Linked DNA regions of Astyanax mexicanus. The protein of the gene in region 1 interacts with the protein of each later gene in a pairwise test. Links are inferred from orthologs where the notes say so. Each region holds a gene or a part of one and is shown in the gene's direction. Other genes may lie near its edges.

The links.
Region 2: the proteins of wdr6 (region 1) and ptpn3 interact in binary tests that used the Homo sapiens proteins (3 or more experiments, as listed by UniProt). The two-hybrid records come from large-scale screens. The link is inferred for Astyanax mexicanus from reciprocal best matches to the Homo sapiens genes WDR6 and PTPN3.

Annotation. Positions count from the first base shown.
Region 1 is NC_064419.1:49,950,287-49,958,284, forward strand, and holds the start of wdr6 (WD repeat-containing protein 6), read left to right. Parts: upstream 1-4,979; 5' UTR 4,980-5,051; coding exon 5,052-5,052; intron 5,053-5,495; exon of another isoform or gene 5,496-5,628; intron 5,629-7,097; exon of another isoform or gene 7,098-7,271; intron 7,272-7,998. Other genes in the region: fibrinogen silencer-binding protein, read right to left, coding at 1-232, 1,008-1,081, 1,356-1,458, 3,018-3,332. UniProt on the Homo sapiens protein: Together with methyltransferase FTSJ1, methylates the 2'-O-ribose of nucleotides at position 34 of the tRNA anticodon loop of substrate tRNAs. Required for the correct positioning of the substrate tRNA for methylation.
Region 2 is NC_064408.1:109,502,399-109,510,184, forward strand, and holds the start of ptpn3 (tyrosine-protein phosphatase non-receptor type 3), read left to right. Parts: upstream 1-4,785; 5' UTR 4,786-5,033; intron 5,034-7,786.

The DNA of each region.
Region 1 (7,998 bases):
TCAGCCCGGAGGAACCCAGGCCCGAGCCGGATCGGGAGTGGGCAGGGTAGAAGAGCGAGGCGCGGTGGGCGGCGGCTCTAGAGGACGAGGTGGAATGTGAGTGGGCGTGGTAGGGGTGTGACGGGGAGGAGGGGGAGGGGCCAGGCGATGTTCCGGACCCGGAGTTCTGTGGGAGTTCGGGGGGCGACGCCAAGCCGACATCGATGGCGACGAGCTCTTTACTTTCCAGCTCCTGTAAAATAAATAAATTAAATAATTAATTAATACATTTAATTTAACATTTTAATTTTACATGATTTGCGCAGAAAATACTGCATTTGCAATTTTCAAAAAAGTTTAGAATTAATGTTTTTAACACGCTATAAAACATTACGGTGAAAAACTAATGTACAATATTTAGTTACAAAACATAAGCAGAAAATATTAAATAAAACAATATTATTTAAAAGAATGACACACGACAACATGATGAAGAGTGATGATAAAAAATAATCAATTAAAATAAATAATGATGGCTATCTGCAAATAATATTGATGACATTCAAAATCTAAATCTGCAGTTTCGCCTGTCACAATAACTTTTATATATCCATATTTTTATTTTAAGACCATTTTAGTGGCCTTAAACATTTAATTATTAAGAATATTTAGACTTTTCAGACTACTTAGAATTGAAATGATGCTCACGAAGCAGAAAAAAGTGACACAATAACTGTGAATAATATATGATAAACATCATTAATATCATTTATATAATTGCCAATTGATTTATGTTAAAATTAATATTCATCAAACTGTTGTTGCTCAAATATGTTAAATACTGAAATCATCTTTAATACATTTAAAATCTTTTTTTCTGAGTATGTTCTGAGCATCAGTATTCTGGGAAATATTTAATTTTACTATATTAAACAGCATATAAACTAAACAGACTCACTAGTTATAAATATGAACAGATGTAACAGAAGCAGTTTTAGTGGTATGGAGTGGAGAACGAACACACTGACATCAAACTGCTGATAATGCATTACATCATTTTGGTCCAGATCCTCTGGCTCGTTCCCATTGGTCCCTCCGATCCCTGGAAAAAAGACAAACAAAACGAAAAAAACGTGATAAACTTATATAAATATATTTTTGCCTTTGCTGATAATTTATGGTGTAACAGATAACCGACAATCAGTGATCTGTCCAAATCTCCCTCCTGCCCCGCCCCTAAACCCATACATCACTCAGTCACCCAGTGACTTCATCGCAACGTCACTTTGTTTTAAGATCGTGTAGCCCTAATAAACACCACAGACAGGATGCACCTGGATATCTGAGGAGGAACAGGTGAGACAGGTGGAGTTTACCTGGCCCCGGGGAGCTGTTTGTGACGACGTAGCTCCCGTCTCCATCCACATCCTCCAGGTTAGTGATCAGGTTCGGCACCAGAGCCATCACTTCTCTCTGCACCTGCAGGAAACGGGGAAAAGAGAGTATTAAGAAATAGGCTTTAAAGAAACTTTAACATTTATTTTATTTATCTACAGTGTCTCATGTATAATATGTATAAAATGCTGTAAAATAACAGTGCCTTCAGACTTTTGGAGAACAAACCAACACCTGTTATCCTTTTTAATTCAGATAGAATTTAGAGAATTTAAGCTAATCTTTATTTATTTTATTAGTTTTAAAGTAATACATGTGTAATATCAGATATCTGCTCAGAATTCCCACAAATCAATTAATCAATAAATCAATTAACCTTTATTTAGTCTCAGATTTAAATTGAAACTAAACTGAAACGGAGAATCACCTCATTTTAAATGTAGCTGAATATTTAATATTGAATGAAGAAAAACTAAAAATTAAAATAAAGTTTATGCGAGCGCTGCACTTATGGTGGTCAGTGTGTATCTGTGTTATAAATCAGGTCAAACTTTTGGAACTGGTCCGAGACCAAAAAGCAAAAAAAGCAAATTAAAGCTCTATCTGGACGGGATGATTTTCTCAGTGTAGCATCTGTGTTAAATATTTCACACTTCTACTCTTTAGTGATTAAAACTCCTGCATCCGGGCTGCAATTGAATAAAAAGGAGGACCAGTGAGTTTTTAGGCTTTAGTTTTTCTCGGTCACATGACATCATCACGGCGTTCAGTAGCTCCTCCATTTCCACTCGCTGTTGTGTTTTTCTTACGTGGATCTCCATGGAAACTATTGCGCGTCCAAAATGTAATTACGGTGCGCGGCAGTGGACAAATATCTATTTTATTAAAAGTGAGGAAACGAAACTCAGAGATGTGCGTCCGGACAGGACTAAAATTACCGGAGGAGCACGGAGTTCAGAGAAAAACAGTAGATAATTCAGCCTGTAATTTTCTCAGAGGACGTCCGAGAAAAACACGTACACTGTAAACCCGTACGTTTGTTTGAACTCAAATGATTTAAGTCTGTTTTACATAAAATTGGATTTTTCTAAACAATACTCAACTATTTTGAGTTACTGTACTATTCAAACTGAGGACTTTGAGTTGAACCAACTTATAATAACTGAGTTTAGTCTGTTTTGCCATCAACAGTTTCTTTTCTATTGGCTTCTTTCACACTCTATTTGCATACTGGGCGTGTCCAACAGTTTCTGACAGACACTCACCATCAGTGTGTAGTGATTCCCCCCCTGGGCTACCTTACAAATAAATCAACTTCCCCTTTAGTTGTAAGACCTTAATGTTTTAATTTATAATAACTCAAAAAAATTGAGAAAATCAGCTGCCTTAAAAAAAAGTTAGGTAAACTCAACTTATCTGGTTCTTACATATATGCTAAATGAAGTTTTTATTACCCATTACTTAACTTTTTAAGTCTCAATTTTTTTAAGTAAATTTAACTTATCCGGGCTTACAGTGTACATGGTTGTTCTGGACAGGAATAAAATCACAGAGGATAAAAACTATCCCAAAACCCCCTGAGAAACTAATTCCATCCAGATAGGGCTTTAGAGATGTATTTAATAAGACGGTAGTGACTGTACCTGTGTGAGGGCGGTGAGCGGCATCCCCGACGCCTGCTGCTCCTGCCGCCTCTGCAGCGCCACCCGGCACTCCACCTTCAGCCTCTTCCACAGGGTTTTGAGGGAGCCCACGCTGCTGGGCGGCCGGTTGGGGAAAGCCTCGTTGAAGGCCTGGGCGAGTTCGGCCCACACAGCGTTCCGGTACACAGTGGTGTTGGTGTCTTTACGGAAGTCCTGCACGGCGTCCACCACGCTGTGGATCTTCTGCAGCAGGTAGAGCTTCTGCTCCAGAGTGAAGTTGGGCATCCTGTACGTCATGGTGGTGAGCATCTTCATTTGCGATGTGTGTGAATATGAGAGTGTGTGTGTGTGTGTGTGTGTGTGAGGAATGCTGTTGGTATAAAGTCAGGAAGGATCACACACAGAGGAATAAGGCTGCTGGTCAGTCGACTCGTTCATGGAGTTCTAACCTGGTATACAGAAGCGTCCATTTACGTCCAAAAGTACAAAATGTTCTATATGCTATAAACGCTACATAACAGAAGTTATGGGGTTATGTATTCATCACAGGTCTGTTGTGAATTTGGTCCCTTCGATAAGCGTTAAGTCACATTTGATGCGACATACTTAAAAAAGAAAAAGAAAAAAAACTACAAAATATATAAACTATATTTTAAGAAAATAACAAAAATATAAGTTTAAGACTCTGTGTGTGTAAGGCTGCTCGGTCAACAACGGCAACATCCACACGGTGGGCCTGCTGTCCGTCGACGCATCCGGGATCTGAGGGGAAAAATAAAGATAAAAATAAATACTTATTAAATATCTTTTGACATAATAAGTAAGTTGTAAGTTTTCTTTATTTTTTTAATTATTATTTTTTTTACCACTGAACAAATTAAATAACCTTAATGAATTTCGCTATCTAAAAACTACAATTAACAATATTTATTGAACAAAAAAAAAAAGAAAATCATAAAATGGGATAAATATTCATTATTCCCCATTTTTGTAAAAGTGAAATAAAAAACTAGAACCCTGGAAAATAACTTTTTTTTTTTCTTCACTAAACCAAATGGAAAAAACACGTGAAGCATATATAGCAGATACATGGTTCATGTAGTCAGTCTCTCTGTAAGTTATAAATGTGTAATATCACTATCTGTTTATATGTGCGTTTTATCAGATACCGGTAGATATGCATATTTTACTGGCTATCAGTAGATATATACATTTTATCGTTTATCGGTAGATAATACACATTTTATCAGATATTGGTATATATATATATATATATATATATATATATATATATATATATATATATATATATATATATATATTTTTTTTTTTTTTTTTTTTTATAGAGATTTTATTGGATATAAAAGTAGACACACATTTTATTGGTTATCAGTAGATATACACATTTTATAGTATGTCGGTAGATATATAAATTTTATCGGATAGCAGTAGATATATACATTTTATCGATTTTGTCATATACTGGTAGATAATACGCATTTTATCAGATATCGGTAGATATGTTACATATTTTATCGGGTTAAACTGTCAAATTCTGTAATAATTGTGAGTATTAGTGGGTAATAACTGAGCGCTGTTAGGAGGAATTCTGCTGCTGTAAGTGATCAGCTCTCTGTTTCTCTACTGTTTTATTAATTTACTGCGGGTTTTTTTCTGTTACTGTGTTAAACTGTGTTTATTTAAAGGTAAAAATACAAAAAACAAGCCTTATATTAGAAGATGCTCCCAGCAGAAGTGTATGTAGGATCGTTAAATAGCTTAAATCACTGTATCACAGTAAAATGAAGGTATAGATAAGATAATACTTTATGAGTCCCACAGTGGCGGAAATTCACAGTATTATATGATATACACATTTTATCGGTTTATCGTGTATTGGTAGATATACACATGTTATCGGTTATCGGCATCGGCTCAGACTTCCTGAATCAGTGCATCCCTACAGAACAGGAGTAAGTTGCAGCAGGAGAGCAGGAGAAAAGCGGGAGTTTGAACAGGATATAACAGTGTTACAGTGAGTAAATCTGCAGTGTATAATGTGTATATTCTGAGGTAAACGCTGAGAGAGTGTTTACAGCTGAAGCCCTCAGCCCGAGACTAGGTTTAATCCCTCTGTCTGCCCGCTGTCTCCCTCCCACACATTGATCTCAGCTCAGATTTATATTAATATCATTATTACACTGTAATAAATATGATATTACACATTAATGCGCTGATTCTGATGCAGTTTCGGGGTTTTAGCGCCTCTAAAAGCCTCAAAACCGCAACTTTAGCCCGTCTGTTTAGCCCGCTTAGCCTGTTAGCCGTTAGCCGCGCTGCTAAACCGCTGCACCGTATTAGCGGGTTAGAGACTAGGATTAGGGCTAACGCTAAGGCTAACATTTCCCCGCGCGCCCAAACACACCGAAAACACCCCACGAGCCCCGCGCTGCAGCCCGCGCGCCCCGGTACACTCACCTGCACGCGGAACGATTGAACTCCGCTATAAATGATACTTTGTTGCTCCCACCCCTTTATGTTTGAGCGGCCCGCACCAAATTCAAACAACAGAGAGCTGCTCTGCGCAGCGGCCGCAATCTGCGTAACCGGGGGAGCGGGGCAGCGGCGCGGTGCGCATGCGCTGCGCAAATCCCCGGATCTACAGATCATACCCGCCTGGGATTCACTAACACTGCGCGGAGCAGATGATCTATAGATCTGCGTCTGAGTGCCGCCGAGACTCCGCTCATAATAATAAACAGCCGGAGAGATATTCCTTTATTCTTATTACTACGCTGTAACACGCTGCTCTCACACCATATATATACACCCGGCAGATAAAACGAATAATAATCTGGATATATTCTTCCTTTTATTCGTTTTTTTAACATTCGTTATTGAATGTAATGTAAAAAAGAACATAATAACCAGAAGTTTAAAGAGAATAGTTTTTTTTTTTATTGAAAGTAACAAATTATGTCCAAAAAATCATTAACATTCCCATTGGATAAACTATAAAAACTTAATTTCTTCAAAAAAGTCAGATACCACATTACAAAATTGCAATTACTAAACCCTTAGAATTGTTCATTTGTATGTTTAATAACCCCCCCCCCCCAAAAAAAAAAAATCTAAAAAGCAATGATGGAATATTTAAGCAAACATATGAAGGAAAGAATGGACGCATTGTGTGTCTATAGATAGACATTTTTCCTTTCTTTCTTTTGTTGTTTATAACTAATTATATGTGTTTTAGAGGCAAGTGTTTTAGAATACATTTTACATTGTATTTCTATATTACATCAATTGAACACATTATATTACACAATCCAATAAAAAAATAAAAACAATGCATTCCCATAGAACTGCAATAAAATAAATATATAAACTAATTGGAGTGCAAAGAAAAATAGAAATAGATTTTAAAACATTTTAAATATTTATTGTGAAATTTGCACATTGACCAAATTGCTGATATTTAAGAATTAAAATTGTATGTGTTAATAGCAGCTAAGAAATATATTTAAAAATGTTTTTATTTAATTATGAAATTGCATATTTAACACAATTGCTGATATTTAAGTATAATATAAATGTTCATAGCAGCTGAAAAATATATTTACACTTTTTATATATTTGAATATTTTATTGTGATTAAAATATATAATATATTTTTGGGTTATGTGATGTAGGTGATATCTTAATTTAAATTTTGCATTTTAAATATTTGTTTACTACGCCACCGCCATAAACATAACCTAAAAGAGAGAAAAGTCTCCAATAACTGATAATTATATATTATACAAAAAAGTATTAGCATGATAAATAACCTACATAATACAAGATAAGAATACATTTCTAAAAAGTTTAGACAAAATATGATTATATGTGTTCTCCAGTCGTGTTAATTTTGAAATTGTGTAATTTGTTAATTTACTTTAAAGAAATGTAACGTAAAAGAAATACTGTAGAAATATAATGTTTAAAAGTCCTCCAGTAGGAGCGCTTTGATCTACAAAGGGGGCGGGACGCTTCAGTATGCTGGGCTGTGATTGGTCAGAGCTTTCGGTTGTGCGGAAGTTACCCGGATAAACACACATGTCTGCCCGCAGTGAGACACGCTGGTGCTGAATATAAAGAGAATTGAGTTAAATTCTGTAATAATTCGGATTATTTAGTTTATATATTTGTGTGTATGGAGTTGTGAGTATTAATAGGTAACAACAGAGCGCTTTTAGGAGGAATTCTGCTGCTGTAAGTGATCAGCTCTCTGTTTCTCTACTGTTTTACTGATTAACTGAGTGGTTTCTGTGTTAAACTGTGTTACTCTGGTGATTATTTAAAGATAAAAACACAATAAACAAGCACTATATTAGAACATGCTCCCTGCAGTAGCGTAGGTAGGATATTTAAATAGCTTACAAATCTGTATCACAGTAAAACTAATGTAATGCAATGTATTTTATCTACCTTAACAGTACAATATATACAATATAATATAAATAATAATAAGTAAAGAAATCTTAAGACTGCATTTACAAACAACTGCACATTGCCTCTTGGTTGCACAGAGTAATGGAACAATATTGTACATTATGTTACACATAGAGGTGATTGGAAACAGTCTTTTATGCTATATTATAGTTTAATAATTTTAATAAAAACACTGAAGCAAATAATGAAAAAAGCTCAGGTTGTTTGATGCACCCAAAAAAAGCCAAATTATCATTAAAAACAGAAAAAACATAAAATGATTAAATAATAAAACATGAAATAATTGGCAGATAAATTGTTAGATTTTTAAAAGTATTTAATTTGTAATTTTTGCAAAAGATTTACACCTAAAATGGGACTTATGTTTCTTCACTCAACGTTTATGAATGAATAATTTCTCTAAAAGTACCAACAACTAACTTTATTGCAAGCAGTTAAATATGCAGAATGTTGATTAGTCAGCATTACCGCAAAGCCTGAGGATTGT
Region 2 (7,786 bases), on another chromosome or scaffold:
CCTCACTTACACAGCCCCATTGGCCTCATTGGCCTACATACAGTTGTGGATGGGGGTTTATGTATAATTATCATGCTCTGGCAATACTGCATAGCAACATTCATTAAAAAAAGACTTATATACATATGTTTGTGGGATTTTCTAAAGTCAACTCATTATTGGTATTAAACAACTAAATTCAATTACATTAGTTGTTTTATAGGCAAAAACCCACCCTTTAAGCGTTGGCCTCATATTTAGCTAAATTTAACTGAATTTGCTTTAGCAATTCCACAATCACTTCTGATATGTGTTTGGGGTCACTGTACTGAACATCCAATTTTGTACGCATTTTTAATTTCTGGCTAATTCTTTTGCAGGAAGTCCACCTACATCATTATTCCATCCAGTTTTTGCAATGTACCCGTTTTACTGGCAGAAAAGCAGCCCCAGAACATGATGCACCCACCCCCATGCTTAACAGCTGAAACAGTGCTCCTGCATTTAAATGCCTCACCTTTACTCCAAGTAACAAAACAAGACATATGTTGTCTCACATGAATATTAAACATGTCTCAAGATGTTGATTGTGGAGCAGAGGTTTCCATTTTGGACAGCAGCCGCTTAGTCCACAGTGATGTAAATCCAAACTGAAAGTACACTTTGACATCGTTTTTTACATAGTCTTGCACAGTACAACTAGCAGTGAAATTTAATTTATTTACAAATAGCAACATCAACCAACCTATTACCACAACAACCACACAGTAACACTTAGAAGTTTCCTTGTGCACTTTTCTAGTTATATAGTTTTGTAGTTATATTATTTCAAACTCTGCTTTTTAAAACTATAAAGAACCAGAAAAAAACTTAAATACTGATCATACTAAACACCTAGCAACCACTTGGAACACACTTGATACATCTGACACAACGTCTAATACATTATACAACCTGATGCAATGTCTTAGTTTTTTTACCGCTATAAGTTGTAGAATCATTCTGTCCCAGAAAAAGAACAGAACAAAGAAATCACTAAATGTCCAACATTGTCATGACATTAATGAACATGATGAATGCATATATTTTTCAACTGCTGGCTAAAACTGCTGTTAAAAATTCATATAGAGACAACATAAAATTATTGTGACCATTAATTAATTAGTCATTTGGAATTAATGTTTTGAAGCTCGATTTTTTTGTAGGAGATAAGCAAAGGTGTCAAAAGTATTTACTTTCATTACTCACGTAGAAGTATAGACAGTAGGGTTTAAAAATACTTCTGTATTTTATTCCAGCAAAAGTGTAAAAGTACTGCTTTTAAAACTACTTAAAGTACGAAAGTAAAAGTAATGTAAGCCAAAAAAAAGCCATTAAGGACAAAAGCTTAGGTTGCGCCACAGGAGCCTATAGTGCACTATCCCCCCCTCCCCAAAACACATTTTATAAAAGCCATAATGACCATAATGTTATACTAAAATGTTAATGTTGTTAAATTTGGGATGTCTCCCTGGTTCAGCTGCATATGTACTCATTGAAAATGAATATATTTTAATACAATGCAAATATATTAAAGAAGCTGAGTCTCCGCCACAGATCATCTTCATACTAGACTACATACATTTGCTACGTTCTTGCTGAAATATGAACTGACATGATGTGGAGGTGTGATGGATCGTATACAAACCAATAGGGGGTCAGTATGGTTATGTTTATACTTCTCTACATCCAACCACAATCAGATACACTCTATCTAGATGGAAAGTTTTATCTCAATGAAAACAAGCTGAAATGAAATAGGAGTAACAAGGCTATTTTTTAAAATGTAAGGAGTAGACGTGAAAAAGCCGTCTGAAAAGTAAGGTAACAAAGTATTTGTACTTCATTACTTGACACTTCATTGCTTGTCATTTTGTGGGCAGATAAAAAAAATCACTACCTGGAAGTAAATGATGTGGGGTTGATTCTGCAGTTGGTCAGGTCTAGGTTCAGCAACAGTATCTACTGAAAGAATGAGGTCAGCTGACTACCTGAATATACTGAATATAGACCAGGTTATTCCATCAATGTATTTTTTTCTTCCCTGATGACACGGACATATTCCAAGATGACAATGCCAGGATTCATGGCTCGGAATTGTGGAAGATTGGTTTAGGGAGCATGAGATCATCATTTTCACACATGAATTGTTCACCATAGAGTCCAGACCTTAACCTCATTGAGAATCTTTGGGATGTGCTGGAGAAGGTTTTGTGCAGCGGTCAGACTCTACCATCATCAATGCTGCAAGATCTTGGTTAAAATTGATGCAACACTGGATTAAATAAATCTTGTGACATTGCAGAAGCTTATCAAAACAATACAAACATAAAGGTGATCCAATGAATTATTAGTGTGTGAGCTTTTTTATAAGGTTCTTCCTCCAGAGGGGGCATGACATGTAAAAGTTTAGGAAACACTGATTTAGCATTAGTAGTGCTGCAGTAGCACATCTGACCTACAGAGGCGCTATTAAGCCATGTCTAAACACCACATAAACGTAAACTGGTCAGTTGCACAATGTTATATGTTTAACACAAAAACGTATTTTTAGCTAAAACAAACAAACAAATAACACATAGAAACTATCTATAATACTTGCCCTCAACATTCGTGCTGATGACTGTCTCCTAAGCCATCAAATAAGCCAGTAAAGCTGGGAAAACACATTCCTTGCTGGTAGCTGTTTCAACATAAAGGAAGGACTCGTTTCGCTGGGCTGAGTAACGCAGGTCATGCTGCTGCTGTTGTTGCTGCTGGTCGTGCTTATCTCCAGGAACGCGGGGGTGTATTTTTATTGACTCAAGGGAGGCAGCGCCCTGACTGCTGTGCTCGGGCACGCGCACCTGTGCGCGTCCCCGCGGACACAGTGTACGGACACTCCTCGCTCTGGCTCACCGTTTATTGTAACGAGAAAGCGAGAAAAAAACTGAGAAGGCCTAACCATCCAGTGTGACCTGATTAACATAAAGCTCTAACAAAAAAATAAGAGACCATATCAGTTTCTAAATCAGTTTCTCTGATAGGTATATATTTGAGTAAAATGAACACTGTTGTTTTATTCTATAAAATACTGACAACATTGCTCCCAAATCCCAAAGAAAAATATTGTCATTTACAGGATTTATTAGTAGAAATGAGAAATGGCTGAAATAACAAAAAAAGATGCAAAAAACAAAACAAGTACAAGTTGAATAACCCTGCTTTTTAGTCACAGTTTCATACATTTTGGCATTTACTCCTCCATCAGTCTTACACACTGCTTTTGGATAACTTTATGCCACTCCTGGTGCAAAAATTCAAGCCGTTCAGCTTGGTTTGATGGCTTGTGAGCATCCATCTTCTTCTTGATTTAAATTCCAGAGGTTTTCAATTTGGTAATATTAAAGTGTTTAAGTGATCTCTTATTTTTTTCTAGAGCTGTATGTTGGTATTATTAACAGTAGCAGTCATAAGTTTAGAGACACCTCTTCTCGTTCAATGTCTTTTTTATGATCTTGTACATTGTAAATTTATTACTGAAGGCATTAAACCTATACAGAAACAAAAAACAGAATATATTTTATACTTTAGATTCTACTAAATAGCACATTTAGCTTTGAGAACAGATCTGCATACTCTTGGTATTTTAATCTCAGTGTCTTCATGAGGTAGAGTCACCTGAAATATTTTTTTTTCTTAAAGGAGTTCCTGGAGATGCTAAACAATAGTTACTGCTTTTCCTTCATTTATTAAAATAATGCTACAGCCTGTCATTCAGCCATTGTTTAAACTGGAGTAAGAGAAGCTAGATGTTGGGCCACTGGTCGGTCTCACTCCTACTGGGATCTTACAGAAAGTCTATAGCTTTTTTGTTGTTGTAAAAAGGAGGCTGGCTTTACCTAAAACTCTGATCCTAGAATCGCCCCTGACCCCTGAACTATTGTTCCGGATGGCAACACCTTAGAACTTTCCTTGCACACTTTTCTAGTTATAAAGTTTTCTAGTTCCATTCTTTCGAACTCTGCGGTAAAAATACAAAGAACCAATAATAAAACTTTAAAACTGTTGTGAATTGTATATTTGTATTATGTATGCAAAATAAAAAAGAAAAAGAAAAGAAATACGAATGTGTAATGAATATAAAGCTGGAAATAGCCATTGTTTCTGATTTACAGTGGTGTGTACAACTTTGGGCACCCCTGATATTTTTTTTATGATTTTCCTTATAAATCATTGGTTGTTTGGATCAGCAGTTTTATATAAATATATAATATAGCAGATGAGCATAGTGATATTTGTGTAGTGAAATTAAGTTTATAGGATTTACAGAAAGTGTGCAATAATAATTATTTAAACAAAATGCATAAATTTGGGCACCCTTGTGGTTTTATTGATTTTAATACTTTTAGAACTAATTATTGGAACACAAAATGGAAATGTGGAATTGTTGGGCAAATTATTGGTATAACAAAAAATAAAAAGTTAAATAATCTTTCCTTTCAGTAGTAATAATTTGATGTTTTAATATATGTTAAGTTAATGGTTTATTGCCCATTACGTTACTATTGTTAATATTGTTTTTTTTTTTTTTTTTTTTTTTTTTTTTTAACATATCTGGGCTTACAGTGTAGTAACACTAGTGTTAGCTAGTAGCTGAGTTAGCAGACCGACCGTGGGTCAAAAACTATAATATAATATATACATAGGTAGACCACACCATCACGCGCGTGCACGTTGCTGGTTCAGACTAGTTAGGTACACAGCTGTAAACGCGCGCGCGACTCACCTCACATATCAATGAAGCGAGCGCTGAGCGGGAGCGCGCCTGGTCCGCGGCCACGACGAAGCTGAACTCCCGAACTCCCGAAGGAGCCCGAAGGAGCAGGACCGAAAATAAAGACAACATTTTCCCGGAAGTTTACCGACACCTGCGGCCGCGGAGCTCGGACATGGAGACGCTTCAGCTTTCAACACCTCAGTAACAGCAGGAGAGGAGCAGCCCGACTGACAGAACGGGGGAAACCCAGCCTCAGGTAACTTAGTTAACCCAGCGAGGGGGCTAGTTAACTAGCGTTGCTAGTGGTAACTAACTAGCCTAGCTAACCTAGCCTAGCGATAACTAGCGTTAACTGTTTCAACCGGTCCAAACTGAACTAAACCGAACTAAACAGCCCAGTTCTAGCTTATTTAAGCCAGTTAAGAGACTGAATTATACAACTTTTAACTTTTTAACTACAACCGAGCTCTAATTAAACCGTTAACGTTAAGCGTGTTCTGGTTTAAAGCGCTTTAAAGGGACCAGAGAGTAAATAAATCAGTGTTTAACGTTAGCTAGCTTTAGGTTAGCTCTTACTAACTAAGTTATTATCGTTATCCTAGCCGTGTATTAACTTAGCAGAGCAGGGAAGAGCCCAGCCCTCCTCGGCAACAGCTGTCTGATCCGGAGCGTGTGACAGGCAGCAGCGAAAAGGTGAAAAATATGAAAGATTTGTCAGCTTTTTATCGACTAGCTAATTAACTTTACTAAACTTGAAACCATCAGGCAACGTAAGTGGGAAGTATAACCTTAGTAGCCTGAGCAGTCTGATCAGACTGAAAATGAAACCTACTGCTGCCTCATTTCTCTCTTTCCCATGAGAGTTCTGGCTTGCAGTCTTGCGCTGTATGTGGGAAGCCACAAAATATTTCCCTTTTCACTCCATTAGCTAACTGCAGAGCCCCTAAGCTGACATCATGTTAAAAAAATAATGCGTGGCCATGACTTATTAAGGCATGGGAACGATATCCTTATGCGTAAGAATAAGATAATTAAGCAAGAGACTTATTAAGGCGTGGGAACTAGTTAATTAAGTTGTGTCCAGAGAATAATAAGCTTGCTTTTCTGTAAATTAAAGGAGAAGGTGTAAAATTTACTTGTGGTGTAGTAAAACATGATAGAGTACTGACCATTGTTTAATAGCCCACATCTGCTCTCCCCTCTCCCAGCTTTCCAAGATCCAGTATTTTGTGCTTTTTGCCCAGCACTCTTTACAAGAAGCTTATTAAAACCACCCGGAGATTAGGCTGTGCTAAGAGTTGGAAACAGTGTTTTTAATAAGCTTCTTGTTAATTTTTAAAGTTATAAATGCCTCCTTTTAAGTGTCAGAGCTCTGTGGATTCTACTATTGAGGTGTGGAGTAGGGGTGGGCGATATGGCCCTAAAATAATATCACGATATTTCATGATATTTTCGCGATAACGATACTCTTGGTGATATGACAAAACACTTAAAAATATTATTTTTAAAAATACACTATACACTGCAAGAAAATAAAAAAATATTTTATTATTACATACAATATAATACTGCACACCCCTAAGTGAGATATTAAAAAATACAAGAATTCTATCAGATTTGTAGCAGAAGTCAATGATCCAGAATGTCATGATACTAATAATAATGCACTCCAAATATCTCCATATATCCAGGATTAAAGTAAAATAAATGATACTGGACAGATATAAACTGTCTCTAGTAGATATATAATGGGAAATGGGATGGGTGATATGGCACGAAATTGTAGGGTATAATATCGTTCTCGATATTTAAAAGATTTGACGATATTATCGTGTACGATATGATATGGCACACCCCTAGTGTGGAGCCTGGATAACAGTGTAAAAGTGCTTTATCTGGATGCCCCAAAGCTCCCGTTGTAAAGAGTGCTTTTTGCCATTTCTGGGTCTCAGAAAGCTGCGGGAGAGCAGTGGTGGGCTATTCAGTAAAGGTTAGTAATCTTTATCATGTTTTACTACAACCAAAGTCAATTTTACACCAGAGTTCTCCTTTATTGCCTATGAGTCTCTTGCAGTGAGACAGGGCATAATTCTAAGTAAAGGACTTTTTTAATTCTCATACAAAAAGCTGACGGGCTTAGATGTAGACAGTATGCAGATTAATTTACCTTCCTTAAGCAGTTATATTGTGCACAACCCTTGAGAGCTGCTTGCTTTGTTAGCTGTAAAACAAAAGGAGGCCCCGCCTTAATGGCTATGATTTAATTAACTCATTGCCACACCTTAATAAGTTGTGGCTACACATTAGGATCTCATTCCCACGCCTTAATAAGTCATGGCCATGCATTATTTTTTTAACATGATTTTACCTTAGGGGCTCCATAGCTATAATTCAAATATGTATTCTGGTTATAATTTTAAATAGAGAAAAAAAACTGACATTGCCATATTTTGTTGAGCAGTAATTTGCAGTGATCGGCATCTAATAAAAATAATAGAGCTGTCAACATTAACATGTTAATGCATGCAATTAATCTAAAAAACTTTAACGCGTTAATATTTTGAACTAAATGAGTCATGTGACAAAATTGACAGAGCCTGGTGACGCATTTTATTTAGTGATATAACACAGCAACACTTACTGTTCAGTTAATAAGGTAGATTATATTTTATTTGTGGCGAAGTTTATTCTCTTTCTCTCTCCATCTCTCTCTCTCTGTATTTCTCTCTCACACACACAAACACACACAGCTGATGACAGGTTTCCTCTTTTCAAGCTGTTGAGTATGGAATGTATAATACAGTAAAAAAGGATCTAGTCTGCCAGGTGAATATCACACTACAGCATTGTTTTTGTTCCCGTCCCAAAAATACTGTTCAGTACCAATATGATAAATACAAATATCTTTTAAGGGATTGACACCAATGATACATATGTTTTAAGTGTTTCTACTGCTGTTTATTTTATTCACAATTCAATACACATTATCAAAAGCTTAGTCTTAAGCAA